Alligator mississippiensis: one gene and its partners. The protein of the gene in region 1 binds, or shares a complex with, the protein of each later gene. Links are inferred from orthologs where the notes say so. Each region holds a gene or a part of one and is shown in the gene's direction. Other genes may lie near its edges. The genes, in order: SLC3A2, SLC7A11, SLC7A10 and SLC7A8.

Region 1 (6,847 bases):
AGGGTGCAACAGGGAGAACATGGGGGGGCAGGATTGGGCCTGGAGCTGCCCCCTCGGGGTCCCCAGCTTGGCCCCCAGGTGGCTCTGGCCCCTGCTGGGCAGGTGGAGTCGGAAGGGTTTGCAGACAGTCAGCTTGGCTGGGGGGCAAAGGGAGGGGCTGTTATACCCACCCTGTGCACCCCCCAGTGCCAGCTGCAGCCTGTTATAACCAGCCCGTGCCCACCCCAGAGCCAGCCACAACTCTCACCTTTCGTCTTCCTCTGCTCCAGTTGCTCCTGAATGTTCCTGTGTAGGGCTGTGAAGTCGGGGACAGACCTGGGTGGGGCAGGGGGTGCCCCCCGTCTCCTCCTGGACCTGGGGGACCGGGGCCACGCCCCCCCTTCGGCCAGGAGATGCTGGGACAGGGAGGCGGGGTGGTGCTGCGGGCAGGAGCTGGGACCCCGGGAGCCTTGCGGGGAGCCTGCCCCCCGATATCCACAACCCTGAGGCCTCCTGCCCCCCCTGTTCCTGCCCCCCTTGAAGGTCTCATCCCCGCCTTTTCTGCCCCTGGCCCCTTGACTCCTGCCCCCCTGGTCCGGCAGCCTGGTGGGAGAGCGGTGTGGGTTTGGGGAGTGGGGTGGGGATAGGAGCAGGCCCCGGCCCCCTGCGGCAGAGGGGTCCCAGAGCCACTGGAAGGGGAAGGAAGGCGGGCGGGCATCTGGCTCAGGGGTGCAGGGGGGGTTGTGGAGAGAGCGGGGGTGCCAGCTGGGGGGAGGGGGGGAAGAGAGAGGGACATGTTGGAATTGAACCCAGGCTTTTGAGTCCCTGGCTCTCACCTCCCAGCCCCACTCCCTTCCCAGACCTGCCTGCCCCCCTGCTCTGACCACCTCTAAAGCCAAAAAGAGCCCAGGCGTCCGGCCCCCCGGCCCCTGTTGCTCTAACCCCGCACCTCCCAGCGCCCCCCCAGCCCCACTTCCTCTCCTAAAGCAGGGAGTGAACCCAGGCGTCCAGGGCCCCCGTCACCTGTCAGGGGCTCGGTCTCTCTTGGGGGGAACCCAGGGTGCCCCCCGCCTCCGTCTCAGCACCAGCCGCCTGTCCCCTGCATCCAGCACCTCCTGGGGGCACAGAGGCAGCAAGTGGGGGGACAGAGAACGCAGGCGCCCGGGCACCCAGCCCCCCCCGGTCTCGCCCCCCAGCCCCCGGGCGTCCGAGCTGGCCTGCGGACCTCATTGCGGGGGTACCCCGCGAGCAGCCCCAGCAGCTGCACGCGCCCCTTCCTCTCGTGGAAGGTGCCAGGCACCCGGGCGCCCGGGTCCCGCGAGGGACGGACGCAGGCCTGGGCGAGGGCCGCCTGGCGGTGCGCCCCCGGCATGGCGGCCCTGTTGCTGCGGTGACGGGGGGGGTTCTAGAAGCCCCCCGCGCCGCTGCGGGTCCCCTCCGGCCAAGGTGGGCTGCAATGGGGGGGCGCGGGCCGGATGCCTGGACATCGCCCCGTCACTGGGGCACCTGCTGGGCTCCCCCTGCCCCGATCGGGGCCAGCGAGGACCCTGGCTGCCCACCCCTCCCCCCCCGCTCCACCCGATCCTGCTGTTTACATCCCTGTTTACACCCGGCGTGGCCCCGGGCCAGCCTGGGGAGGAGGATGCGGGGGAGCGGGGGGAGGAAAAGCTGAGGCTTGGCAGGACACGTCGTCCCCGAGGCCCCAGCCTGGCAGCCGGCCCAGACAGATCAAAACACGCTCCTCCCGAGCTGGGAAAGGGCCCAGGCGTCCGGCCTCACGGTGCCCCTGCTCCCCCCTGCCCCAGGCATCTGGCCCCCAGTGCTGACCCTAGCCCTGCTCCTCTCCCAGACCGGGCCCAGGTGTCCGGGCTCCCAGCCCACCCCCAAGCCCCCGGCGCGACCCGCAGCCCCCGCTGCCCTCCTGGAGCTGGGGTAGACCCGGGGCGGGGGCGCCTCGTGGGGTGGAGGGCAGGGCGCGTCGGGGGGTCCCAGTTGGAGCAGTGACCTCCGCCATAGCTGGGACCCCTCAGTCCCCACGGACCGGTCTGGCAGGCGGCGGGGAGCGACCGGGCTGGGCAGGGCACTGGATGCTACCTGGGCAAAAGAGGGGGGCACATGGGGAAATGAGGGGGTCTGGGGTGTTGTTTGGGGGGTACTGGGTGTTACTGGGACAAGGGCGCTACCGCTAGGGTGGCCATCATAGAGGACAGTCCGGTTTTCTGCTACTCCGCCCTCCATTGATACGAAACCGGATGCCTTAGGTCCTCTTGAAGAGAAAAGCAGAGGACATCAAGGCGTCCGGTTTCGTATCAACGGAGGACAGAGGACAACCGGACTGTCCTCTGTAATGGCCACCCTAGCTACCGCCCATGGCCGGACCAAGATGGCTGCCACGGAGCGTCATGGCTGCCGCAGGCAACTCCCAGATGGTTACCAACAGCTCAGTCGAGAGGGCGCGGGGCACCGTTCCCCACGCGCCATCTTGGTATCGCCAGCATCTTCTCAGCAGCCGTCTTCCTTTAACCTGCGTCACCCTGGCAGCCATCTTGTCACAGCTGCCAGCGGGAGAGGGAACCCCAACATGGCTTGTTAGTTGCGGGGGGTGGCGTTGTCTTTGATGATGGCGATTGGGAGCAATGGAAAGGGAGGACCAAGACGGGGGCCTGAGGGGGAATGGGACCAATATGGTGGCCTGAGCCGGGGGGGGGGGAAGGGGGGTTACGACACCAAAATGGGGCACTGACACCAAGATGGCAGCCGGAGCAGGAGCCATGTGGCACCACAATGGTGGCCCGAATGGGGGGGGAGGGGGCAGCACCAAGATGGCAACCTGAGGTGGGGGCACTGACACCAAGATGGGACCTGAGTGGGGAGGAAGCACCAGCATGGCGGCTGGGGGAGGTGGCACCAAGATGAGAGCATGAAGAAGGGACCTGGCACCAAGATGGCAGCCTGAGCGGGGAGGCGGGAAGGCACCAGCACCAAGATGGCAGCCTGAGGCATGGGGAGCCACGACGGCAGCCTGAGAAGGCATGTGGAGCCAAAATGGCAGCCCGGGGTGGGGAAGCATCCATCTCGTCTCTGCCAGGTGCCAACATGGCGGAGCTGGCTCAGAGCCTCGTGCCAGGCCCGGCCCCCCTCGCCCGGCGCCATGCTGGCTGGCTGTGGGGGTGCGGCCCTGCCTCCAGGGCACCATCTTGCTGCCGCCTGCCCCGTCCTGTGGGGGGGAGGGGGGGAGGAAGGTCGTGGGGGGCTGACGGGAGCTGGGGCGGGGGGCTACGGGGTCTGTAGCGGGGCTCGGGGGGCTGCAGGGGTTGGCTGTGGCTGTGTTTCGCTGAGTCGGGAGCTGGGAGGGGCTGACTCAGCGAATTGCCCCCAGAATTTGGGGCACCTCTGTTCAGACCCCCCATAGCCCCCGGGGGAAAAAATCAGGGCTGGGGGGGGTGCAGCTGGGGGGGGGGGCGGGACCTTGTGACGGCCCCCAGCCCCCGCCCAGGTCCTGCCCTTGATCCCCCCAGGGGTCCCATTCTCTGCCCCCCCCCGCCTTTGATCTCCAACTCTGCTGAGCGCCAGGAAGGAACCCGGCGGCAGAGCTCCCTCCTCCCCTGGCTGTCACCCGCCAGGCAGCCTGGCCGCCAGCTCCAGCTCCAGCTCCACCTCCGGGGCGGGGCGGACCCGGCCGTATAAAGCAGCGCCCCCGCCACCACGTTCCTAGATCATTTGGGAGCTCGGAGATCTGGTACTGGGAGCACTGGGGTGGGCTGGGGCTGCATGCGAGGAAGGGGGCGCCTGGAAGCACAGGGAATGGGGGGGCCTAGTGCTGCCCCCCCCAGCGAGGAAGGGGGTCTTGGCAGGAGCCGATGTTTGGGCCCCCCCACAACACTTCCAGCTCTGGGGGGGCTGCTGGGGTAGAGCGGGGGGGCTGGGGCCCGGACCCCGGCGCTCTCTCTCCCTGCTCTGGGGGGGCTGGTAGGTTGCAGCAGCAGGGAAGGGGGGCCTGAGGGCCCGGACACCTGGGTTCCCTTGCCCCCTGGCTGCCAACGGGTGTACTAGGACCGTGGGAAGGGGTCAGTGGGGTACAAGAGGGGACCCGGATGCCTGGCTTCCCTCCCCTGGGGGGACAAAGTCCACTGGGCAAAAATGGGGGGGGGAAGGGGAGCTGGACGCCTGGGCTCTTCCCCCTGGGGGAGCAGAGTCCAACAGGCTTGGTGGAGGGGGGGCACCCGGACACCCGGGCTCTACCTTTGCCCGGGCCTAGCCTGGCTGCAGGAGGGTGCTATACCTCAATCTCACAGCCTCCCTCTCTCCCCAGTGCCCCCCAGCACCGCCATGGAGGCAGACCTGAAGGACGTGGAGCTGAACGAGCTGGAGCCCGAGAAGCAACCCATGACACCCGCCAGTCCGGGAAGCCCGGAGAAGAACGGGGCCGTGAAGGTGAAGGTGGCTGAGGACGAGGAGGACGAGGGCGCCCCCAAGTTCACAGGGCTCTCCAAGGAGGAGCTGCTGCGGGCAGCCGGCACCCCGGGCTGGGTCCGGGCCCGCTGGGCCCTCCTCATCCTCTTCTGGCTGGGCTGGCTGGGCATGCTGGCGGGCGCCGTGCTCATCATCGTCCAGGCCCCCCGCTGCCGGCCGCTGCCACCCCAGACCTGGTGGCACAAAGGAGGCCTCTACCGCATCCAGCCCATGGAGGCTTTTCGGGACTCGAAGGGTGGCAACGCTGGGGACTTGGCAGGTGAGAGAACCCAGGCATCCGGGGCCTGGCAGCCCTCTGGTCTGAGCCCCAGCTGTCCCCAAGAAACCAGGCGTCCAGGCACCCCCTTCTGTACTGGCCCAGCAGACCCCATTGCCCTCCCCGAGCGGCGAGAGAACCCCGGCGTCCAGGGTAGGGGGCTGGCACCCCCTAATCTGACCCAGCAAGGCTGTGCTGCCTTCCACGAGGGGGGAGAGAAGCCCGGAGCCCGCTTACCCGCTCTGTGCTGACCCAGCAGACCCCACTGCCTTTCCTAAGGGAACCCAGGAGTCCAGGGGCTCCCCGTCTGCCCCAAGGGTGTCCCCGAGCGGGGACAACACCCAGGTCTCCGGACACTCCTGTACGACGGACCCAGCACACCCTATTGCTGTCTGAGTGGCAAAAGAACCTGAGCTCCCAGGCGGGGGCCCCTGACCCACAGCCATCTCCGAGTGGGGAGGGAGTCCAGGGGGACCCCAATACCTGCTCTGCGCTGCCCCACTGGACCCCACTGCCTTCCCTGAGTCGGGGGGGAGAAGCCAGGTGTCCGGGCTCCCCACGTGCTCTCAGCCCCATCTGCTCCCTGAACGGGGAGGGGAGAACCCATGTGTCTGGGGCCCCCAGCGCTGCCCCCCCAGCCCTGCCCCCCCATCTGAAAGAGAACCCGGGTGTCCTGGTTTGGGGGGATAGGGGTGGGCTTCCCAGCCCTGGCCGGCCAGAGCCGGTCTTGGCTGGCGGGTGTTACATCAGCCATGACATCACGTGTTGAGTCAGCACTTCTGGGGTAGTGGGCGGGGAGAGGAGTAAAGGTCGCGTGATTGGGTGTAGGGGGGGGTAAAGGTCACAGGGGGGATCAATTAACTGGGGGCTTTCTAGGGTGGGGGGGTTCAGTTAAGGGGAGAGGTCTGGGGGTCTCAGAGGGGGCTCGGGTTGGGGAGTGGGCGGTGGAGGTCTGAGTGGGAGGGGACCTGGGGGATATGGATGTTGGTGGGCTGGAGGGCGTGGGGGGGGCAGGTATCTCTGTAGGATGGGAGTTCCTAGGAGGTTGGGGGGGGGTCTGGGGAAGGTATGAGGGGGTAGAGGAGGGCTCCGTGCAGCTGGTAAAAAGTCTGGAGGGGGCTCTGGGTGGTTGAGGGTTGTGAGGATCAGGGGACTCTGGGGCTGGGGCGCCGCCCTCCTGACCTCCCATACCCCCCAGGTGTGAAGGAGAAGCTGGATTACGTGGCAGCGCTGGGGGTGCAGGGGCTGGTGCTGGGCCCCCTGCATGACACCAAACGTGACAGCCCCAAGGACACCAACCTGCAGAAACTCCACCCCCAACTGGGCTCCAATGAGACCCTTGCCCAACTGCTCGAGGCTGCCAAGAAGAAAGGTAAGGTGGGAGGGGGGGTCCAGGCCTGAATCCTGGGGCCCCACAAGTGGCTGTGGGGGAGGGGCTTGATACTGGTGGTCCCTGCTGGGGGGGGGGGTGAGAGGCGGGGCCCTGATCCTGGGGAGCCTGGGTGGGGTCATACCCTGGCTGGATGTGGGGGGGCGGTCCGGGGGCCCAGTCCTGACTGTGGATCCCCACCCAGGCCTCAAGGTGATCCTGGACCTGACCCCCAACTACCAGGGGCAGCAGCGCTGGTTTGGCCCTGGCGTCGCTAACAGCACCCAGTTCCAGAAGCAGTTCAAGGTGGGGGGGCAGGGACCAGGGCCTGTGGAAGCAGCTGTCAGCCAGGGGCTGTTTGGTCCCTTGGACTGGACTCCACCACTGGGGGGGCAGGGAATCTTGGGGGGACTCCAGGGGGGTCTGGGAAGTGTGGGGGGCAGGGAAGCTAGGGGGACCCCAGAGCATGTGGGGGAGCTAGGAGACTCCCAGGGGGTGTCTGGGGGGAGAGTGTGGGGTGGGGATTGGGGAAGCTGGGGGGGACCCCCAAGTGCGTCTGAGAGGGGCTGGATAGGGGGTAGAGGCAGCTTGGGGGGGTCTCAGCCATGGTGGAGGTACCAGCTGCTCCCCCCTGACCCATCTCTTCCCTGCCCCCCGGCAGGAGGCAATGACCTTCTGGCTGAATCAGGGCATCTCAGGGTTCCAGCTGGAGGCCGTGGATGAGCTGAATGTGAGTCTGGGGGGATCCTGAGAGTGGGGGAGGGGGTGTG
Region 2 (7,656 bases), on another chromosome or scaffold:
TTGTGAACATGGTGATTCATAGATCCTAATTTAATATGTAAAGCAGATTAAAAAGTTTGTTCACCATATAGATTAAATATCTTGCTATTTCTTTGTTCTTGAAATCAAGAGGAGCTCATAAGGAGGGTCTAGCACAATGATTCTCACCCAGGGTGCTAAGGCACCTTATGGTATCTTAAGAAACTTTCAAAGGTGCCATGGGGTGTCACACAATGGATACAAATCAGCATTCATTGTACCCAGTCTAGGTCAAGGCAGCTTGCTTTAAGGCACCCAAAACTAGACCAGGATCAGTATACACAGCAATTTACTGCTCCTGGGAGCCCTACAGGGAACCCATGGGTATTTAGGTTGATCTAACCCTGGTTAGGCTGATCCAAAGGTATTGCCTGCATATACCCAGTATTAGCATGGCTAGGTGTGCAAGCATGATTCACAAGATAAACATACAGATTTCAAATAGAAATTCATGGTTTCAAAAACATTCTGATTGTTTTAGTCTTTCTGAGTTCTTTGCAACTGAAGAATTGTTCTGTTTAATTTTCCTGTAGTCAAAAATCTACTGAAAACTAAGAGCTGGCATTTTCTAAGGGATGTCTTAAGTCTAATAAGGGGTGCCGTGTATCCAAAAGGGTTGAGAACCATTGGTCTAGCAGGGTCACATGCTAATTCAGTTATCTGCAAATTTTAGGCAAAAACCTATAGAGAATTCATTAGGCTTACTCTTGATTAAGAATTTTGTTTGGCATAAAAAAGATAAATGTTTCATGACATGGTGATAGTAAGGTTCAGAAGGAGGAAACCATTTTACATTGTTTATCTAGTTTATGTATTAAAACTTTTGGTCAGGAAATGAACCTGACACTGCATAGAAAATATAGCATAGAAAATACGACAATGCTGTGCATCTTTCCAATTGCTTGCAGAGGTGAAATCTTATTTTCTTTTCTGTGGGAGAGCTTCCTGTTGCTCTAAAATATTTTCAGCATCCTGAAGGAGATATTGCCTTAAAAAATTAAAATTGTAGGTCTAACAGAGTATGTTTTCAGTAGTGAACAAGTTAAGCTTCAGGTGGCCTGAAGACTTCCCTAGGGAATATGGCTGTGTACTGTGCTGTGTTTTTTTTTACTAATGCCATAATCCTGCATTAACTTGGAACAATTTAAATTAAAACTACCAGTGAAAGTAACTCCTTGTGGTCACATCTGACTCAGGATAGATTGGGTAAGCATGACATTGATTGTGAGATCTTAAGGTGTCTGTCACTGTTTCCTTCTTGTCTTGGAAATAGACTTAGATGGCAGAGAAGTCACAACTAATTTGCCAAAAAGACTAATTTTGTTCTGGTCTTTAAAAGTGCCCCAGGGTTGTTTACTCCTTTCTGTGCAGAATTTGGGATGTTGATGACACAAATGATTACTTTTTATTGTAAGAGCCCAAATGTCAAGCGGCTAACTTTTGCCATGGTCTCACAGCCACAGGATTTGGTACAGCAGTAGCTAAGGGCTGCACAGGAAAGCACTGCAAGAAAAGAAGTGTGCCTTACCTATAATTCTCTCCCTATTCCCTTCTTGCTCCAGGGGGTAGCAATTCACAGCAGTTCTGTACTAGTTGTAAACTACTCCTCCCTGTGCCAGCTCAGCATTGCTGATAGCGTGCTGAAAGAAGCAGTCAGGGCTCCACCCATCAGTAAATGGATGTGCAGCTGCCCTTATCCATGCATGCCCAAACCTGAGATTTGGATAGCCTATTGGGACTTCAGGACCAACGGAGCTTTCTTTGCAGGCCACTTCCTCCAAATTAGTCTTGCCTCAAGCAAGGCAGACCAGTGAGAAAATGTGAAGCTACAGATGTAATAACTGACTGTATGTTAAGTAGTAGGTGTTAATCAGAGATTAGTGAGGAAGCAAGAGAAGACGACAGAAAGGTTCAATGTCAAGAACTAAGCCTTTCCTTAATTTAGCTGATTTGTTTCTATTACTTAACAACCCTGCTGTTCAAAATTGAATGTGACTGTTCTGACTTTGTTGAGTAGAATTATAGAAAATGAGGGTTGGAAAGGACCTCAGGAGGTCATCTAGTCCAAATCCTGCTCAGAGCAGGACCCATCCCCAGCTACATTATCTCAGTCAAAGCTTTGTCTAGCCAAGTCTTAAAAACCTCCAAGGAAGGAGATTCCACAACCACTCTGGGTAACCTGTTCCAGTGTTTTATTACCCTCCTCGTGAAAAAATTTTTCCTTATAACTAACCTAAACATCCCTTGCTGAAACTTGAGACCATTGCTCCTTCTTCTGTCATCTGCCACCACTGAGAACAGTCGGGCTTCATCCTCTGTGTAACCACCCTTCAGGTAGTTGAAGGCTGCTATTAAAGTAGCTATTGTTACTTATTTGTATTGCAGGACCCTTCAAAGTATTGTAGGTTCTACACAGAATTAGGAGAACTCAGAGAGACTCTCAGTCTCAGCTACAGCCAAGAAGGCATGTGAAAACATGACTTTAAATAACTTTACCTCTTTTCTGCTCTTGGTCTAGCACTGATACTAAGTTAGAAAGGCCATAGGCTACTTCAACTAATGCTATGCACCAAGAGTGCCCAAGGGACTCATACAACATTAGGGAAATCATAAGTTAAAGTAAAAGCTGTAAGTGCTATTACTGATAAATCATCCCAAGGTCTAAAGACATATAGAAAATCATAGTTTATGTTTTAATTGAACAGCTTATTGGTTAAATAATGATACATACATACACACACAGAAGTCCATGTGAGTTGCTATCTTCCTAAAAGCAAAGAGGACCTGTGGTCAAATAAATGTGAAGGTTTTTAACTCCTTTGAAAGTTTATACCAAATATTCAAGGCAGAGCTCTGAACTGCTGGGAGCTGCCTTGGAGTTGTCTGGAAGCTTGCTTAATACTTCTTTTGATCTGTAGCTCCTTCCCATTTAATTACCTTCCCATTTAAATAAATGTCAGGCATTGATTAAGGACTATATAAGGGTATATACATAACATATATCCCTGAGACACTGATTAAGGAAGCCCTGCTGCGTGCTTGTGATTCTGCACCTTTAAATTCAGTTTAAGAACATCAGCCCAGGCCAGTGGTTAATAATTTGACCAGGTACCTCACTGGCATGTACCTGAGTGGTATTCAATGTTTTTCAGTAAAAAATTAATTGCTCTTTCACCTAGGCGCAGAGCAGGCACATGGTAGACAGACTAAGGAAGAGGCATAGGCAACTGGTAGAGAGTGCATGGGGGTGCATGTGCCCCCCCTGACGGGGCTGGTGGCCCCCCAACAGCTGACACTGATGCTGTTGGTAGAGCTGGTGTCCCCCCTGACAGGGTCGGTGGCTTTTGCGGGTGGCCCCCCAGATTCAGAATGCACCCATCACCCATGACTAGAGGAGAAATCACAGTATCTGATGGTGGATATGCAAAGAGTATAGAGTAAGAAGTGAAACTTTCTTTAAAACATTGTAACAGTGCAAATAGATGTGCAAAAATGGTGTTTTTTGTGTTTGTACCTCTGTATATTAATACCAGCCAAGGTTTTTATAGATAGTTTTACCACCACACAAATTATTACAGACAAGTCACAACCCCTGAAAATACAGGTCTTTTAAAATATTGATTTGGGTTTTACAACTAGAGTGTTAAGAGTGCAGCTCTACACTGAGTGTATTACTAGGATACACTCAAAGAATAGTGTTGTCTTTTGAAATGCTAAAATGTTCAGCTAATATATTTTTCCATCTTGGAGCTAATTAAGCAATAACTGTAAAGGGAGTATGTGAGGCAATAATAATTTCTCATTGCGCTGATTGAATCTAAAGCTATGAGCAGCTGCGCTACTTAAGTTATGTAAGATTCCCCTCTTTGGCATATAGTACTCTGTACAGTGAGATTATAAAGACTTGAGGGACTATTTTTGTTGTTTTATGAACTGTTTTTGTTTGCGTATTTGTTTTTAACTTTTGGTGTGGTGGTTTGAAAGAAAATAATTCATGTGAGTTAGAAGGACACGAAAGTAAAGAATTTGGAATTTATCAGTTAATCCGCTCAGAAAAACATCATGGTCGCATGCAAATTTCTGTTATCTGAGTCACTGCATTCCCTTTAATGTTCCATCAGATCTGAAAAGAGTTTGTTGTAAATGTTAACAAGAGTTCCTGCAGGGGGATTCTCATCAGTAACTTCCTCGTAAGCATCACAGAAACACTAACGAGAGAATGACTGTATGGAAATAACCTACATTTTTCACTAGTCTGATTTGGATGTGTTGCTAGGCAACATAAGGTAGCAAAAGGGTTATATGTAGTCTCTGTAAATGTGTGTCTGATCTATGTCAATTTTCAGGTAAAGAAAATAGATTTTTAGACAAACTAACTAGACCTAACAAAACACAACAGTTGAAAACCCTGAAGTATACGGTAGTGAAAAGATAGTATTGAAAAAAAGAATTGGAGAAGACCCAAAGATGACGTATCCTGTTTGATTTTTTTGTTTCTGGCTGAAGGGCTTTGTATTTTGAAACAGGCTTTTGTGTCTCACTACTAGTTCTTTTAAATACTTGGGAGTGTGTTTGAATGTGTCGACATTAGTGTACTACTGCCTGATAGGTTAAGGTTCCTTTTAAGTGAGAGCTTTGTTCTTCCTAAATAGCTCAGGTCAGTTGTGCAACATACCCCTACCGTTTAAAAAAAAAAAAGAAAGAAAGAAAGAAAAAAGTGCTGAATAATCCCAGATGGCTGATGCAAACCTGCAGAATTTGCATCATCATTCAGCACGAGTAACTTGGTATGACAGGAGCTTAAATACAAGTCCACGCGGAAGCAGAACTGGTTTCCAATGACAAGGCAGCACCAGCCTGTGCTGGGAGAGTTCAGATGTTAGGGAATAGCATTTAGATTTCAATGAAGAGTAAAAATACACCTTGAATGGTTTACCTGTGTGTAGGAACAGCTTGGAAGGCATTGGAAAGGCACGGAGAGCAATTAACTACTCACAAATAGAGGAAGAAACCTTGAGCGTCTGCCACAAAGTTTTTTTTTAAAGTTTTGTTTGTTTTGAGTGTGCTGATTGCTAGCATGTTTAGGAAACCTGCTGTACCTACAATCACTAATGGAAGCTATGTGCAGGGGCAATCTAATGGCAGGTTGCCTTCTATGGACAGCAAAGAGCCAGTGAGGGAAGAAAAAGTAGTGCTGAAGAAAAAAGTAACTTTGTTGAGAGGCATATCCATTATAATTGGTACTATCATTGGAGCAGGAATCTTCATCTCTCCTAAAGGAATTCTGGAGAACACCGGCAGCGTGGGAATGTCCTTGGTTGTCTGGACAGTGTGTGGTATCCTCTCACTGTTTGGTAAGTTAGTCAAAGTTTATAATTGCTCCTTTGGGACAGCTGGTGAATTCTTCTCTTCTTATTTTTGCTAGTGGATATCAAAGATCAATCTGATGCTTGAGGACCAGTAAGGCTATGGATACTTATTTGCTATTTGATGGGCTCTCTCAATGGTACAGTTGTGTGCAATCAGTATTGCCTCTATCATGAGCATTATGGCATAAAACTCTACTGAAGGGCTGTATGAAGACCCTAGACCAAACAGTGTTTTTAATGCATCCCTAATATATCAGGAGAGGGAAGTATCCATTACTGTATTGTGAAGTGTGGTATATGTTTGATGTTCTTGTTTTAAATGTATGGATTAGTTTACAGCATGCTTGCAAGCTAGAGAGATGGGCTGGTCATTTTGAACACCTGTGAGATGTTTAAACAGCTTTTCTCAGTTCCCTGCTCATCTGATCCAGTTCTAAGATGAATAACTTCTGGACAAAAACAGTTACTGGCAAGAAATTGAATTAAATTAAAACTTTCTGCAACTGTTTGTCACTTCATTTATCAGTTCACGATATTTTATGAAAAACTGCACCCCCAAAATTGAGGAATTTCGAAACAAGCACATATTGTGAACTTTGTCTTCTGGAATGTATCTGGCTACAATATTTGCACATTTTCATTAGTAAAAGTATTAGAACTCCTTATGAATGCCAGTTTATTTGTCTTGTTGTATAAAGAGCTGCATTCACAATGGATATCAGCACCCTTGATTATGTGGAACAGAAGGTCTATTGACCAACTTAATGAGTTAATCGCAAAAAAGCTGAGCAACTGACACAAATATTGGCTTTATTTAAAATCCAGACTACTTGTCTTCTGGCATGTGGTAAAGAGGGAAAACACTAAGTAGCACGTGCCTGCTTAATAGATGGGACATGTGAATTTTGCCCTGGGTAAATTGGCCAGGATCATTGATTGTTTTGAAGAAATACAAAGAATGAAAAAGAATGTTGAAAAATGTTACTGCCCCTTCTCATCAGAGGTTGAATTTATTTAATTACAGGCACAATATAAGACACAACAGTAATTTGCCATCGAACTCTGAAGGTACTGCCTAAGACCCAAACCTTTTTCTTGAAGTAAACACAATTTGGCATCCAGTTATATGCTGGCCTTTAGATAAAACTAGAGACACACCTTGCCTGAACACAGGATATTTGAAATTAACCTTCATAGTTATGTGGTATACGAAGAGTGATTAAATATAGTACATTCTGATTTTTCCCCTCTGCCTTTACATGTTGTGATAAGATGTCATACATTTTTTCACGTCATACACACGTTGTAAAATGTCATACATTCATGTTGTGATAAAATGTCATACATACTATTTTTCATTACCAGTGGTCTTGGTGATGCTCTCTATGAAATACTGATTACAGCATTACAACAGCTTCTTTCAAACTGATTCTGTCTTACAACCTTCCAGATAAATTGGCAAGAAAAAACACATCAACAGGTTTTTCTAAATGTGACTCTCCAATCACTTTAGGTAGAATATCAGTTACGTTCATTAATACCACACAAAGACTTCAGCAGGGCCCCAAATCGAAGCAAGTGCGATATGCATGGAGTTCTTAATAAAAACATGTTTTAATGGCTGTAGAATACATCCCTATCAATGAAAAAAAATGTATATTATGTAGTGCTTTCTCTATTGTTAGACTATATCACATGCATGTATGTATGTGACCAAAAACACTGGGCATACGAGTGGTTTTGAGTGTTGTGCTGCTTTGAAAAATGTGGTTTATACCTTAAAATGCTATAGCATTATTTACTGAGGGACTGCATCCTTGACCACTGCATATATATCACCAATCATAACACTGCAAGCCATGATTTATTAAAACCATATAGTTCTATTGATTCTGTATTCCTGCATGTTACTAAACCATTTATAACGGTATTTATGAGATACACCTCTCCTTAACTGATGTTGTCCACACATGGAGATGAGAACATTTTATCCTCCTGGCTAAAAGACTTTGCTCTTCTGCAAAGTGGCCATGTCTACATGAGATTAATGTGTGTGAATGATTACTGTGCGTTAATTTAATACTTGCATAAAAAGATAATAAATGTGGAGTAACCCAAGTTACTGTACAGTGGTGCTAGTGAATGCCTTCTTTGTGATGCTACTGTGCCTAATACTACTGCGCAATAGTGTTGCATCACACTTTTTGCCATGCAACACTACAGTGCACTAATATTGGGCTACTGCGCAGTCAGGGTCTCATGTAGACAT
Region 3 (7,063 bases), on another chromosome or scaffold:
GCACAATGTACCCCACACAGATGAGTAGTGCCTTACACCAGGAATTTAAAAAAAAAAGCACAACAGGCACTTTAATATCCTGTAATATATTAGAACAACAGGCCCCACTATACACAAAGCAGCACGTGCGTTAGCAACACATTACTCACTGTGGCATGGAGGTAAATGAACAATGGCACCCCAATGGCCCCCATGACCCAGCAACCCTACTGCTTTCTGGTAGCACATATCCACTAAGGAGCTCCTAAGGGTCTAGGATCCACTCTGTGTGAAAATATTTGCCTCAAACTTCAGAGGTGCTGTGCAGGACACAACAAAGCACAATATCATATGTATGGACTTTGCAACATTTGCCATCCAAATGAGTTTGTAGGGGATGGCTTGCCTTCTTTTGACCTTTCAAATATGCACTGTAGCACCATGCTGCAGATAAGAATGTGACTGCATTTTCTGTGCAGCAGCACAGCGTCTACACACTGTCTTCTAAGACATGGCAGGAGAGGACAGCTGGGTCCTCCTAAAGAGCGAACACCTTGATAGAAGTAACTTGGAGCCCCAGGCTCCAAGGCTGTTCAAGCATGTAAATGCTATCTACTGAGAACCCTGCTGTACTGCTTCCGGCTGGTGTTTCCTACATTGGTATATGTGGATTGCCTCTGTGGTCCACAAAGCCCTGAAAACTAGTGAAGCTCTTGCTTCTATTAACTTATTCACTGGCTCTTTCAGGGAGGTAACAAATAGTCCCAGCACAACTTGAGAATCCCATCCTCTGTCATCCAGACATTATTTTGGGCATACTCAAAACCTGCCAGAAACTTTCAGGCTAGCATTGCAAACTTTCACCCCCCTCACCAGGCTGACAGGTGATTTGTCAACACCCAGTTGGTTAGCCAGAGACCTTTAGCAGCCCTAGGTATTCATTTTTCAGGCAGAGATAACAATCTACCTCTGCACCAGGGTGGTCTCCTTCAGCAATATACAGTGGCACCTAAAGGTTACGGCAAGTTTTACACCCAGACCAAAGAATACCTTGCTTCCTCACATGGACATCCTGGAGCCACTGCTAGCTATTCCATGTTTATGCACTTTGCATGATCACACCACACCATGCTACTTCCTCTGCCTCAGAAATGCCAGCATGCAGATGGGGATAATGCAACAACCATCACCTCTCTTTTATGCTTCTTTTATGTCCTCTGCATCCAGCCCGGAAGACCCTAGCATCTCCCTGAACAACTCCACCTCACACAGCTGGGCAAGAACCATGAGATCCATTGCTCTAAACACTGCTACACACACAGAGCTGAGTATTGTGCTAAGCTAACAAACCTTTATGTGCTGGCAAACTAAAATAACTCCTGCCCTTAGCACCATTATGGAAACACAAACTGTCCCACAGTAACATTCCTAGAAGGGCTCTACTCCATGCAGCACTACAAAACCCAGTGGAGCACACATAGTATAGACTCAGGAACATGAACTGGGCACAAAACAGTGTGAATGAGGGAAAGATAGCTTGCCTGACTTGCACTTGCAAGCTACATAGCAGTGCATGCAGGTGGACTTATCTTCAGCCCCGTTCCCTTCCTTGTTAGTAAAAAACACTGTGAATTAATTTGGGCTTTTACTGACTGACATTGTCAGTACCACATTTGAAGAAGGTTATCTACCAAACACATTAAACCTCACAATATTCCAGCCAACACCAAAGGAGACACCTTGAGCCCTATGATCTTGCCAACTAATTTCCCATTCTTGAACAAGATCATCAAAACACACATATAAAACCATCTCCAGCTATCCCCAGCGAATTTACCAGACCCCTCTGAGTCAGGCTTCTGGCTAGAACATCGCATTGGTCCCAATAATGCATAACCTCCATAACGGACTGTAATGGAAGACCCTCACCATTGCATTACCAGAACTCTTCTGGGACTTGACACCATCAGCCATCTAACCCTAATTTGTCACATTACACAAATAGCCAAGATTAAGAGAAATGCACCAATTTTTTCAATCCTCCTTTTCAAGTCAGGCCCAGAGAATAATGCTGGAAGCCTGCTCCACTATGGCCAAACTATTTGTTTCTGCTAACATTATTCAATAAGAAAAGGCCTCCGCAAGAGAAGGTTCTTCAGCCTCCACAAGAGAAGGTTGAGAGGCGACCTTGTGGCTGCCTATAAGTTCATCATGGGGGCACAGAAGGGAATTGGTGAGGTTTTATTCACCAAGGCACCCCCAGGGGTTACAAGAAATAATGGCCACAAGCTAGCAGAGAGCAAATTTAGACTGGACATTAGGAAGAACTTCTTCACAGTTAGAGTGGCCAAGGTCTGGAACGGGCTCCCAAGGGAGGTGGTGCTCTCCCCTACCCTGGAGGTCTTCAAGAGGAGGTTAGATAGGCATCTGGCTGGAGTCATCTGAACCCAGCACTCTTTCCTGCCTATGCAGGGGGTCAGACTCGATGATCTATTGAGATCCCTTCTGACCCTAGCATCTATGAATCTATGAGTCCCATTACACAAAAACAAACCTAAAAACCTGTTATGATATTCCACATTACCAGAATAAACTACATATATTGATCCTTTGAAGTTTTTGGCAGAGTGCTTCTATGCAAACAGCAAAAGCAGTTTGTTTTTCCCTTTCTTTTCCAATAGTAAGCATTATTGGAGAGACAGCAACATGAAGCTTGAAATAGCCACCCAAGAAATACAACATGAAATATTTAAAGAAGGAAATCCTAATCAAAGCCTGATTTAAAGGCACCCCCAAGGTAAGGCTTAGTGTGCATCATGTGCTGTGACATGGTGCTTACCTGATGCAGCATGCAGAGGTTCTCGGAAGGAAACCCTGCCTTGCCCTGTGTTTAGGAACTTCAGCACCACCACATCCACCCGGTTAGCCTCGGGGATGGGACAGCTCTCCAAGCGCACAGGGACAGCTAAGTGTTGTTTCAACACCATAAGCCGTTCTAGACCAGTACTTCCCAGGGTGGATCCAGGGGGCACACTGGGACACTTGCACCCCCCTCCCCATTTGATTCCTGCTCCAGCCAAGGTTTAAAACCAGCTTCCTGGCCACGGCAGCAGCATTTCAGGCAGTACTGAGGGGGTCCATTGATTTCATGGCTCAGTGTCACCCACCTGATCCCCTCTATACTCTTCATCTGAGAGGTGTTAACAACCCTATCTCCTTTTTAATGATCTTGATGCTCCATCAGTGGAGCCAGCCTTTGTCTACCACACTGCTGTCTGTTCCCTGCTCTCTGCAACCCCGCTACCTCCCAGCCCTGGGGACTCTTTGTCATGCCTTCCAATGAAGTGCTGTTTGTTTCTGCCTGTCTCTTCACCCAAATCATCCCTCGCTGGCCCCTGGTCTGTGACGAAAGCCTCTTGTTTTGTTGGAGCTACAGAGAAACACAGGTGCTGCCCCGCACACCCGCACCCCCTCTGCCAACCCCTAGATCTGCCCCTGAGCGGTTCTCAGCCTCTTCTTAGACCCAGACCCCCCCGGGAAACGCCACCTCTTGCTTTGCACTCCTGGCTTTGACACAAGGGAGCCGTCCTGCTGCGGCACACGGCTCGGCTGCCTTTCTTTTTGACATCTTTGGGCTTCCCCACCTGCGGGTGCCGACACTGCCTGCCCCACCCCGCGCCAGGGTGACCATCGCTGTGACCAGCCCCCAGGACCTGAAGCCAAGGGATCCTCCCTCCCCCCTGCCCCGGCACCTGAACTTGGGCACCTGAAGACTAGGCAGCCCCCTTCCCCAGCCCCTAGGACTTGAACTTGGGGACCTGAAGCCAAGGGATCCTCCCTCCCCCCTGCCCCGGCACCTGAACTTGGGCACCTGAAGACTAGGCAGCCCCCTTCCCCAGCCCCTAGGACTTGAACTTGGGGACCTGAAGCCAAGGGATCCTCCCTCCCCCCTGCCCCGGCACCTGAAGCCCAGGCACCCGAGCCCACTGCCGCGCCCCGCGCTCCCCAGCCCCAGCCCCAGCCCAGTGGCCGCCCCCCTCGCGCGCCGGGCCGGGCCGGGCAGCGCATGCGCCAGCCACTGAGCTCCTGCAGCTGCTGGCGGGCCGGGCGGCAGGGACGGAGAGCTGCGGCGCGCCGGGGAGAGATGGCGGGGGAGGACCAGCCGCAGCCGCAGCCGCAGCCCCTCGGCAAGAGCATCGCCGCCCCCACGCCGCCGCCGGGCCAGGCGGAGGCCGGCGCGGACCGGGTCGCGCTGAAGAAGGAGATCGGGCTGGTCAGCGCCTGTGCCATCATCATAGGTAGGACCAAGAGCGGGCAGGGCAGGGCAGGGCAGGGCAGGGCAGGGCGAGCCGGGCCCGGCCCGTGTGCAGGTGCAGCTCCACGTCCCGCTCCACCCGCCACGCGTGGCCCTAAGGATGCTCATCATAGAGGACAGTCCGGTTTTCTGCTCCTCTGGCCACTCTCGATAGGAGAGCCAATGCCTTTACGGCCCCTGCTTTTCTCAAGAACATTTTTTTCCGGCTTCCTATCAATAGAGGACGGCCGCGCTGCCCCCTATGATGGCCGCAGGCCCCGGCTGAGATTCCCTGGACTCGTCGTGCCCCTGAGGCCCGACATCGGGGTACGCGACGTGTCCCGAGGGCGGCGCGGATCAGCGGGCGAGCTGGCGGGGAGCCCGAGCCTGCTCCGCTCCTTAGAGAAAGGTTGCAATACTAGTAAAGTCCCAAAGTGGCAAGCCGGGACGTCCAGCCTTAGCCACACGACTTCAGGAGCACCTTTTGGTATCAAGCCTGACTTTCCAAGTCGTCTCTCCCTGACAGTCCAGGTTTGGAAGTGTAATGCTCCCAGAGTTAGCTGCCGTGAAGCTCAGCACACGACCCTAGTGTGGTAGAGATGTCTTCCACGTCCTGAGACAGTGCTGTATGAACCCAGCAGAGCGACTTGAATGTTTTCAGTCCTGATGTCCTGGCTGTATTGAAACCCCATTCTGGTTTGTGGTGGAGATTATTTCTCTCCATGCGGGCTAGCTCGTACCTGTTTCCGGAGTTCTTGCATCTTACCATTGCAGTTAGGAGAGGAAACAGCATGCCTCACAGATTTAGAAAGTGAGCCTGCTCCATAAGCCAAAAGTCCACAGTCCTTTCCACCCTTTTTTATGCATAATGCTGCTAGGCTTGAAAGGAAATCATTCACTTTACCAGGATTCCCCCCGCCACACACATTTTACAAAATTATTAACACCACAGCTAGAAGTTACATTAGTATTGGGTTAACAACTCCTGGTGAATTATGAACTATCGTTGAAATCAAGCCAGTCTGAACCTCAGCTACTTGCAGCATTTTCCTTGACCCGTCAGCGTGCTGCACACAAGTCCTGTTGTAGTGCTAAAGTGTAAAAATATCTTTACTACTTTTCCAGTAGTCTATTATTGTTATATGAATTTTCGATTCATTTATCTCAACTCATTTTAGCAACTTGCGTGGTGTGTATTGAATATTAAAGCACCTACATGATAGGCAGTCATTTGTTTCCTTCGATAAGCATATGTAATCCAAATAGATACTAATGAGATTTACATGCTTATATCAATACAGAATCCTACAGTATCCTTAGCGGAATCCTGCAAGCTTTAGTCACATAAATTAAACAGACTGTTCATGATAGGTCTTCAGGACTGGTCTTTTTAAACATAATTTGTGCAGGGTCTCATTCAATTAACCATCTTCATTCTGGGGTGATTTAATTTAATGGCTTGATTCACTACCTATTTTTATTATAGATTTCAAAATACCTCAAATTCTTAATTCACTTGAAAAGTATGTTTGGATGAAGCCTCAAGTATGAAGGCCAAATGAAAATAAATTTGCAACTTCTCTCTCTTTTGGGTAAGATGTAAAAGTTGGGTCCTTACCACCTGTAATTATTAAGGGCCAGTGGCATTAAAAAGTATTAACATTATTTGTGCAAGAGCTAGGCCATCCGACTTGTACCCCAGCCAGGCTCCAGCCCGAGTAATTATATTTTACTTAAACTCCTGATACTGTTCTTATTCATGTCCTGCTCTCAACTCTTGTGTAGTGTTGCTATGTTCTGTTCGACTGCTTCTGTGTCTGCCTCACAATCGGTTGCATTTTAGTGGTAGTGAAGTGACTGCTGTAGACTGTATTAAACTTCTTCTGTTGGACTAGATCAGTAGTTCTCAACATTTTGGCCCTGCAGGCCAGAAGAAAGGTACAGGGCTGGTCTGCAGGTTGGAGTGGACGCTGTGCACTGGGACTGGGTCCTGTACCACCCTTGCATCTGGACTGGGCCCCAGGACCCTGCACTGCCCTTACTTGGCCCCATGCATCAGGATAAAGGCCCTGCACCACTCTGGTCTAGCCACATGTGCTGTGATCAGGACTACAGGGCCCTGTACCAACCCCACATACCAGGATCAGGGCTCTCCTCCTCTGCCCAGCCCCATATACCCAGATTGGGGCCCCACATCACCTCTGCTTTGTCCTAGTGCCAGGATTGAGGCTCCAGGACCCCATGCTGCCTCCACTTAGTCCAGTCTGGGGGATTGGAGCCCATGCTGCCACACATGCCTGTTCTAGCATGCAGGGCAACAGCCTGTAGAGCTCCGTATATACTCATGAGGAGCCCTGCAGGCCGGATGATAGTAGCAGGGGCCAAGCACCCCTGGAGTAAGTAGTTAGACCCATCAGTCACCTACACAAGGAAGTAAAATTAATGCTTACCCTTTATATCTAGCTCAGATTTTGACCTAGCCACATCAAAGTGTGTGTGTGTGGAGCAGTGTCCCATATTTTCTACTGTGAGCAAATAGATAATGGAGAAACTGGTTTCTCCCCTTCCCCACGTTCTCTAAAAAGTCGAAGTGGAATAGCTATGCAGGTGTATCCACACATGCCTGCCTCTTCCAGAGTAAGGGAGGTGGTGGGGGTAATTGTGACTGAGTTATGTCCAATTATTCTGCTCCTGGAGGGGTTACAGCAGCTGTATTACTAACAGCAAAACGCTGCAAAACAGACCATAAGGCTATAGTGTATACATTACTCTGAACCTTGATAAAGTTCC
Region 4 (6,848 bases), on another chromosome or scaffold:
TGCTATAAATATTATGTCTCCATCAGAGGGTGTTATATGGATTTAACTATATGGGGATATTTAAAGCAGTTTCTGTATGTAGGAACACACTCCGTTAGACTTCTCTTCTCCCTTGCTTTGTAAAAAAAAAAAAAAAAAAAGAGGCTGAAAGATAAAAATCAAAGGAGAAACAAATATCTCTCTCCCTCATTTTCTTTTTTCTTTTTGTCCTCCCTGGAAAAAAAAATAGTTTAACATATTGATTTCCCTCACTTCCATTACATGTTTCCAATAAAAAACACTGCAGAGGATATGGGGAAAACATGGAGAAAACTTGTATTTTAGCATTTTAAAAGCTATTTTCACTGCTTTCCATTAGAAAAATGTACATGTAATACACTTTTGCAGACTCCCCACCTTCCCCACCACCATAGTCTCCCAGTGTGAAAAGTTAAAATAAATAAGCACAGTAATAAAATGTAAAGAGGTGTATTTCCTCCATTTTCTGTCACTTTTTATTCAGAAGATAAAGTTAGCATGTGCAAAATGGTATTCTTCCCCCTCACTTTAGCTTTCTTTTTAACAATGTCCTTCCTTTTTCTAATGGGAAAATAGTAAAAGAAGAAAAACATTGAAAGAAATTGGGATTCTGTCCTCCACATCTCATTTCTAAATTACAATTGTAAAAAATATTCTCTTCCAAATTCATCAGAAAACTCTTTAGGGAAAGGTTAATTTTCAAAGGGAAAAAAGTCCCAGGGAAGTTTCTTTGTCCTTTAGACTTATTGAAAACTGACTCTTTTAGACTAAATAATTTAGTTTTTGAAGGATTTTTTTCCTTGAAAATATTTCAAGTGATCCAAGTGTTGTTAGAGTCCTATGGAGGAGCACCATGCCCTTCTCCAGGGGTGGGCAATTATTTTGGGCGGAGGGCTGCTTACTGAGTTTTAGCAAGCCATCGAGGGCCGCACGGCAGGCAGCCAGGGGCAGATAAATATTAATTTTCTACATTTTTAGGGGCCCCATGGGCTGGATAAAATGGCCTGGAGGGCTGCATCTGGCCCACAGGCCACATTTTGCCCACCTCTGCCCTACTCTCTTACTCCAGGCCTTCAGGCTAGGAGCTGTATCAAAATGATCTTACGCTCACCACAGCCAGTGCACTTCCTGCAGAAAATGTGTCCACAGCTGGTGATGGAGAACTCTGCCCCATTTTGATGAAAGCATTGGTTGCAGTGGAACCAGTCCATGCTGTGAGGAGATGGACAAAGGAGGAGTTACTGCCACAAGGGCCCAGGTTGGGGGTGAGAGATGGATAATCCAGGAGACAGAGATACTGTTAGAGATGGAGGGAGGGATGTTCAGCTAGATGGATGGTGAGATGGAGGGAAGTGGCTAGATGGATATTCAGACGTACTTGGTGGTGGACAGGATATGTCTGTATGTGGAAGATGAGTGGATACAATTATCAAATATTACTTATGTGTTAATTATAAGCATTGCTGTTTTATATTAGCTATCTTTTTATGCATTACAGTTCATTACTTGATGGTGGCCTATTGACTGCAAATGTTATCAATGACTTGCTAGCTTATTTATAGGTCCACAGCGTAGCCTTCTAACTTTAGAATATGAATTAGCCAGGGTTAGATAATAAAATCTGTTGCTCCTATTTTTATTTTAAATATTATTGTTAGCAATGGCTATCCATTAATTATGTTGATAATTCATTTTTGCTATTTAATTTTGTTGCATTGGTAATTTATTAATTTTTGACTGATTTGTATTAGTTTGTCATTATGCTTCACCTATTATGTATTTAGCAATGCTTAGGGGTTATATACTGATTAGACTCCACTACTAGTTTATTGTTTTTGCTTATTTATCAGGTGTGGTGCTGCATTGATTCACTATCTATTTAATATTTGTAGGTCATTTAATCATAGGCTATTTATTTATGGCCATTCCTGATGATCTGTAAGGTCCCTTCCAGCCTCTAACATCAAAACTATGAAGCTATGAACTCTGATTAATTGGCTAATTATTAAATAACGTGCTTTTTCATGAGGTTACTTTTTATGAGCTTGTAATGATTAGGAAGGGTCAATTGATCATCATCAGCTCTGAATTGCATCAGTACATTAGAATTGCGGAGTCTTGATAAACACTGACCTATTATTTATTTTACTCTGGGTAATTTATTGATACAATTTTGTAATTGGAGATGACTAGCCATTAGTAGACCACTATTTTCATATATTCATCAGCCACCTCTGGCTTATAAATCATGTAATCCGTTAGGAGTCATAGGTTATTCAAAATCTCTGACCCATTCATATATTAATTACACCAAGCGTTATCTCAAATGCATAGAAATGATGGGAGATTAATTTGGTATGGATTAACACTGATTGAAGAGGGGTGAGGACTATTTGTATTCAATAATGTAAAAACTATCAATTATTAATTAGGTTTTTATTACATGTAATTTACATTATTCATCAGTTAATTGAACCTCACAGGTTATCAGAGATTAATTGAACCCCACAGGTTATTCTGTCCATGGTCATACATTTAATTTGCAAATGTATGACCATGGATGGAATATAAATCATATTAGTTATGGAAGAGTAACATGTATTGATAGGTTATTATTGTTAGATTATCTATGGTTTCAGTATATTCCGAAAAATAGGTGACTGGCTAGGAAAGTGCTATTATTCATTAATGGGCAAGTATCTATATGCTAGGTCACTGTTAGCCATTATATTAATTATCCATAAACTATTAATTGAAGGGGTTAGGGATCGATGGGATGTTTTTTCAGGTATATTTTACTTATCCATGGGTTATTGGTAGGATGTTAAGCTAATGGTTCTTATTAGGAATGATTGACTATTGATAGCTTGTTTGTTAATAATATATGTAGTCAAGAGATTAATTGTATTAACTAGAGGTGATAGGTTATTGATGGGCACTTGATGCATTAAATAGTAACTAGGGATGGCTGTTGCCTTTCCATGGCCAGTTGCTCATTCTTGTATTAATGCTCATTGGTACTGTAATTTGTCGGAGGAAGCTGGTTATTCATGGGCCGTGATTTATCAGTGTATTAATTACTCCAGGGCACTAAATTAGGGCTTAATTGTTGGCTACTAAGGACCCCTCAGTCCATTCCCTGGGCTCAGCGGGTGTTAATTAGTGGGATGGGGGCTAATGAGCTGTGGGAATGAGGGGCCCCTCCCCAACCCTGGCACCTCAGGGCACGAGGCTGGGAGTGACAGTTGGAAAAGGGCGGGAAAAGACCAAGAGCCGTGGCGGGGGGAGGGGCTGGGGCAGGGGCGGGGTAATTAAGGGAAGGGGCTGGGGTAAAAGGGAGGGGTTTGGGGGCAGTTAGGGGAGGGGCTTTGGGGGAGTTATGGGGCAGGGCTTGGGCAGGGGGGAGGGATTTGGGGGCAGTTAGGAAAAGGGGTTTGGGCAGGAGGGAGGGGCAGTTAGGGGGAGGTGCTGGGGCAGGAGGGGGAGGGGCTGACGGCATGGGCTTGGGGTAGTTAGGGGAAGCAACTAGGGGCAGGAAAGAGTATGGGGGTAACGGGGAGAGAGTTTGGGGCAAACAAGGTAGTGGGGGTGCAGGAGGGGGAGGGGCAGTTAGGGGGAGGACCTGGGGCAGGAGGGAGAGGCTCTGGGGCAAGGAAGGGGCTGGGGGCAGGTCTGAGTGTAGGGAGAAGGGGGCAGTCTGGGGCAGGTGTAGGGGTGCTGGGGCAGGGAAGCTGGGTGCCATTGGCTGCCCCATGGCAGGGGGATTTGAGGGGGCAGGGAAATAGCCCACAGGCTGCTCCTGTGGATCGCTGGAGTCTTGGCCTGGGGCACAGCGCTGGTTGGGGGGCAGGGGGTCTCTGCACCCTCCTTCCCTCCGAGCTGTCTCCCACTTTCAGCCAGCTGGGGGGGGAGGAATGGGACAGTGATTTCCCCTTGTTTCTCTGGAGCCGTGAGCAGCCCGGGTGGGCAGAGGAATGCCCCCCCTTCCTCAGATTAGGTGGGGAGCACTCTGTGCCTCAGCAAGCGCACCCAGCTTTTCCTTCTCCAGTCTGGACATCTCCATCCAAGCGACCTGTCTGTCTGTCCCAGTCTCCATCTGTCCCCTCCCCCTCTCTGCTCTATCCCCAAGGCCTCTGTCCTCGCTTCCCCTTGCTCAGCACATCGTCCTCCGCCCACTGGGGTGAAAGTCCGGGCTGGGCCCCGTTATCAGCTTCTGAGCAGGGTGAAGTGGGGGCGAAGGTCCTGATGGGAAGGAGGGATGATAGCCAAGGAGGGCCGATGGCCAAGGAGGCAGTGCAGGGGGATGGGCGAGCAGGTGGCCAGCAGCTCCTCCAGAGCCTGGGCCCACACCCCAGAGATGGAGAGGGGATGAATGGGGGGCTGGGGATGTGGGGATGTATGTGTGATGTATTTAGCCTGTGGCACCCAGGACCATAGTGTTACCCACCAGCCCTGGACCCCCAGAGCAGACAGACTCCCCACTGCCAGATCTGGCCAGGGAGCCGGAGCTGAGGGGCTGGCTTGCCCTCTGTCCATCTGTCCCGTTCATTCCACCTCTCTTTCCCTCTATCTCCTTCTTGTTTTCTTCTCCGTGTTCCTGGCTGTGGGCTGGGTAGGGGAGGAGTCTGCCAGCTTCTCATGGGAGGGAGCCGGTGTGTTAAGTGGGAGCGAGGGAGTGAGAAAGAGGGCCACAGAGGAAGAGAAGGTACCCACGCCTGCTTGCCTGTCCGTAGGCAGGCTTGGGCACAGATTTGTGGGTGGACTGCTGGCCTGGCTGCCAGTAGGAGCGAGCAGAGGGAGCCAGAAGGAGGGAGCAAGAAAACCACGGAGGGGAGAGAGAGCACTCAGCCGGAACAGAGGAAGGAGAAAATCCACGAGGGACGAGTACAAGGCATCTGATCCAAGGATCCCCCTTGGAAGGAAGGAGAGTGACAATCCTAAGTGGAGGGAGAGCAAGAAAACTCTGAGGGGGAAAGTAGGAGCAAAGCGGGGGGTCGGGGGGGGGGGCGGAGAAAATACCCCCGGGGAAGAGAAAATACTCTGCTAGAAGAAGGGAACAAGAAAATCCCACAGGGAGGAGTGTGGGGCAGGGGACTGCCTGAGGAGCACAGAGCCAGAGAGCACAGCAAGGGAAGGAAAGGAGGAAACGGAGCGAGATTAAACCGGTCTGGAGTTTCGACGCAGTTCCCTCTCCCCTCCTCCGCTGGGGGCAACTTCACAGAAGAGGGGAACGAGTAAACAAGTTGGAGGGACGAGTGTACAGATTGGAGACCAGGAAGGGAGAAGGGGCTGACTCCGAACCAGCCGGCTCAGCACCAGGGCACCAGGGGATTAGACCAGAGCACCTAGGACTTGGGCTGGCTGGAAGGATTGGTCCACGGGTGCAAGCCAGCCTGAGCCGGACTGATTCTATTGACCCAGTGCTAAGACCCGAGAGGCAGAGCCCTGCCAGGGTCTGAGGCCCAGAGCCCAGAAGCTGCCCCCGAGTCCAGAACCAACGAGCCGAAGCAGCCCCAGTGTCCCACAAGCCTCAGCACTGCTCAGCCCCAGTGTGGTCCAGGTCCACCCACCATGGAGGATGGGGCACGGCGCCGAAGCGGTTCCGAGAAAGGCCCAGATGGGCCAGAGGAGCCTGCAGGGGATGCTGTAGCCCTCAAGAAGGAGATTGGTCTGGTCAGCGCCTGTGGCATCATTGTGGGTGAGTTGGGGGCCATGGGGACCCCACAAAAGGGCCCCTGGGTCCGCCTGCCTGGCTAGACCTCCCCCCTTCTCCCCACTTTTTCTCTCCTTTCCTCCTATCCCTCCATCTTTTTCCTCCATCTCTCTCTTCTCCCCCTCCCTCATTCCCTCTCTTTGCTTGCCTCTATAAATAGCCCTGAGCTGTCACCTTGGTTTCCCCGATCCGATTAGAGCTGGATCCCCCCTCCCCTGCTTGCCACTGCTCCACACGGTCCCAGTGCCGCCATGCCCCTCACCCCAACCAGTATGAACAGCCCCAGTGCAGCCCACCCCAGAGCCAGCTGAACTGGAGACCTCCCTGGCTTTGTAGAAGTAACTCTGTGCCATGTGCTCCACCCCAGAGCTAGCTGTATCTTGGCCCCCCCTGCTCTTATCCCAGTACAACCAGCCACACAGTGTCCCACCCCAGAGTTGGTTGCATCTCAGTGCCAGGTATAGGTTCCTCCTTTGCATTCCACCCCAGAGCCAGCTGCATCTCGGCCCTGGACAAAGGGCCTCTGTCTAACCAACCCCACAAAGCATCCCACCCTGGAGTTGGCTGCATCTCAGTGCAGGGTCAAGGACCCTGCTATAAACAGCTCTTTCCCCCTGACCTGCACCCCAGAGTCAGCCACATCTCAGCCCTGGGGCAAGGGGTCCTTGTCCAAACAGCCAGGCAGGCTGAGATGGAGTGTCTGGGTTTTCCGCTCGGATGCAAGCAGAGCCCTGGAGCGTGAATGAACCTCAGCTCCCTTAATCCGGCTCCAGATGGCCCCGCTCAGCAGGTGCCAGGGAACGCCGGTGGGTGGGGGGGCCAGGGGGCACCAAGAGCTAGACAGAGCCCCCTGCTCCCTCCCTCGGTGCCATGCAGTGCCCTATCCCCCAATCCTGTTGGTGCCCCTCACTCCTAGCCCATCCCCCCACACCCTACCAGTCCCCCTCACTCCTGACCTGGAGTCTCCTGCCCCTCCACCCCTATGCCTTTTGCCCCAGAGGTCGGAGTCCCTCTCCAGAGCCCTGTTTATTAGGAAGACGTGGTAACCCTGATAAGATGGCAGGGAAAGGGCCCTCTGCCAAGCTCCCTTGCCCTGGGATGTCCCCTCTAGGGGGTG

Evidence for each region.
Region 2: the proteins of SLC3A2 (region 1) and SLC7A11 are in contact, whole or in part, in a cryo-EM structure (PDB 7P9V), measured with the Homo sapiens proteins. The link is inferred for Alligator mississippiensis from reciprocal best matches to the Homo sapiens genes SLC3A2 and SLC7A11. Residues at the interface, in NP_002385.3 of Homo sapiens: Glu167, Leu170, Ala173, Trp178, Thr181, Arg182, Phe189, Trp190, Trp193, Met196, Leu197, Gly199, Ala200, Ile203, Ile204, Ala207, Arg209, Cys210, Glu212, Leu213, Lys299, Arg534, Gln559; in NP_055146.1 of Homo sapiens: Leu151, Phe154, Phe155, Ile156, Gln157, Cys158, Glu159, Pro161, Leu163, Ala164, Leu167, Ile168, Ala170, Val171, Thr174, Val175, Val178, Gln217, Gln219, Val360, His373, Thr487, Gln489, Ile490, Ile491, Glu493, Val494, Val495.
Region 3: the proteins of SLC3A2 (region 1) and SLC7A10 are in contact, whole or in part, in a cryo-EM structure (PDB 8WNT), measured with the Homo sapiens proteins. The link is inferred for Alligator mississippiensis from reciprocal best matches to the Homo sapiens genes SLC3A2 and SLC7A10. Residues at the interface, in NP_002385.3 of Homo sapiens: Phe161, Thr162, Gly163, Leu164, Lys166, Leu169, Leu170, Val172, Ala173, Trp178, Arg182, Leu186, Phe189, Trp190, Trp193, Met196, Leu197, Ala200, Ile203, Ile204, Ala207, Pro208, Arg209, Cys210, Arg211, Glu212, Leu213, Arg534; in NP_062823.1 of Homo sapiens: Leu147, Val150, Phe151, Asn153, Cys154, Pro157, Ala160, Val163, Leu164, Met166, Ala167, Met170, Leu171, Trp174, Ser352, Val359, Glu481, Thr484, His485, Trp486, Gln488, Glu489, Leu490, Phe492, Val493, Val494, Tyr495, Gln497.
Region 4: the proteins of SLC3A2 (region 1) and SLC7A8 are in contact, whole or in part, in a cryo-EM structure (PDB 7CMI), measured with the Homo sapiens proteins. The link is inferred for Alligator mississippiensis from reciprocal best matches to the Homo sapiens genes SLC3A2 and SLC7A8. Residues at the interface, in NP_002385.3 of Homo sapiens: Thr162, Gly163, Leu164, Ser165, Lys166, Glu167, Leu170, Ala173, Gly174, Trp178, Arg182, Leu185, Phe189, Trp190, Trp193, Met196, Leu197, Gly199, Ala200, Ile203, Ile204, Ala207, Arg209, Cys210, Arg211, Leu213, Lys532, Arg534, Asp558, Gln559; in NP_036376.2 of Homo sapiens: Leu147, Leu150, Phe151, Pro152, Thr153, Cys154, Phe155, Pro157, Ser159, Gly160, Leu163, Leu164, Ala166, Ile167, Leu170, Leu171, Trp174, Gln294, Ser352, Met356, Val359, Glu481, Thr484, Leu485, Gln488, Lys489, Met490, Cys491, Val492, Val493.

What each region holds. Positions count from the first base shown.
Region 1 is NC_081838.1:4,476,126-4,482,972, reverse strand, and holds the start of SLC3A2 (amino acid transporter heavy chain SLC3A2), read left to right. Parts: upstream 1-3,839; coding exon 3,840-3,948; intron 3,949-4,291; coding exon 4,292-4,711; intron 4,712-5,906; coding exon 5,907-6,080; intron 6,081-6,282; coding exon 6,283-6,383; intron 6,384-6,738; coding exon 6,739-6,807; intron 6,808-6,847. UniProt on the Homo sapiens protein: Acts as a chaperone that facilitates biogenesis and trafficking of functional transporters heterodimers to the plasma membrane.
Region 2 is NC_081825.1:106,127,177-106,134,832, forward strand, and holds the start of SLC7A11 (cystine/glutamate transporter), read left to right. Parts: upstream 1-4,644; 5' UTR 4,645-5,095; coding exon 5,096-5,372; intron 5,373-7,656. UniProt on the Homo sapiens protein: Heterodimer with SLC3A2, that functions as an antiporter by mediating the exchange of extracellular anionic L-cystine and intracellular L-glutamate across the cellular plasma membrane.
Region 3 is NC_081833.1:60,547,976-60,555,038, reverse strand, and holds the start of SLC7A10 (asc-type amino acid transporter 1), read left to right. Parts: upstream 1-4,058; 5' UTR 4,059-4,123; coding exon 4,124-4,277; intron 4,278-7,063. UniProt on the Homo sapiens protein: Associates with SLC3A2/4F2hc to form a functional heterodimeric complex that translocates small neutral L- and D-amino acids across the plasma membrane. Preferentially mediates exchange transport, but can also operate via facilitated diffusion.
Region 4 is NC_081830.1:7,398,133-7,404,980, reverse strand, and holds the start of SLC7A8 (large neutral amino acids transporter small subunit 2), read left to right. Parts: upstream 1-3,842; 5' UTR 3,843-5,589; coding exon 5,590-5,716; intron 5,717-6,848. Other genes in the region: RNF212B (RING finger protein 212B), read right to left, coding at 1,130-1,229. UniProt on the Homo sapiens protein: Associates with SLC3A2 to form a functional heterodimeric complex that translocates small and large neutral amino acids with broad specificity and a stoichiometry of 1:1.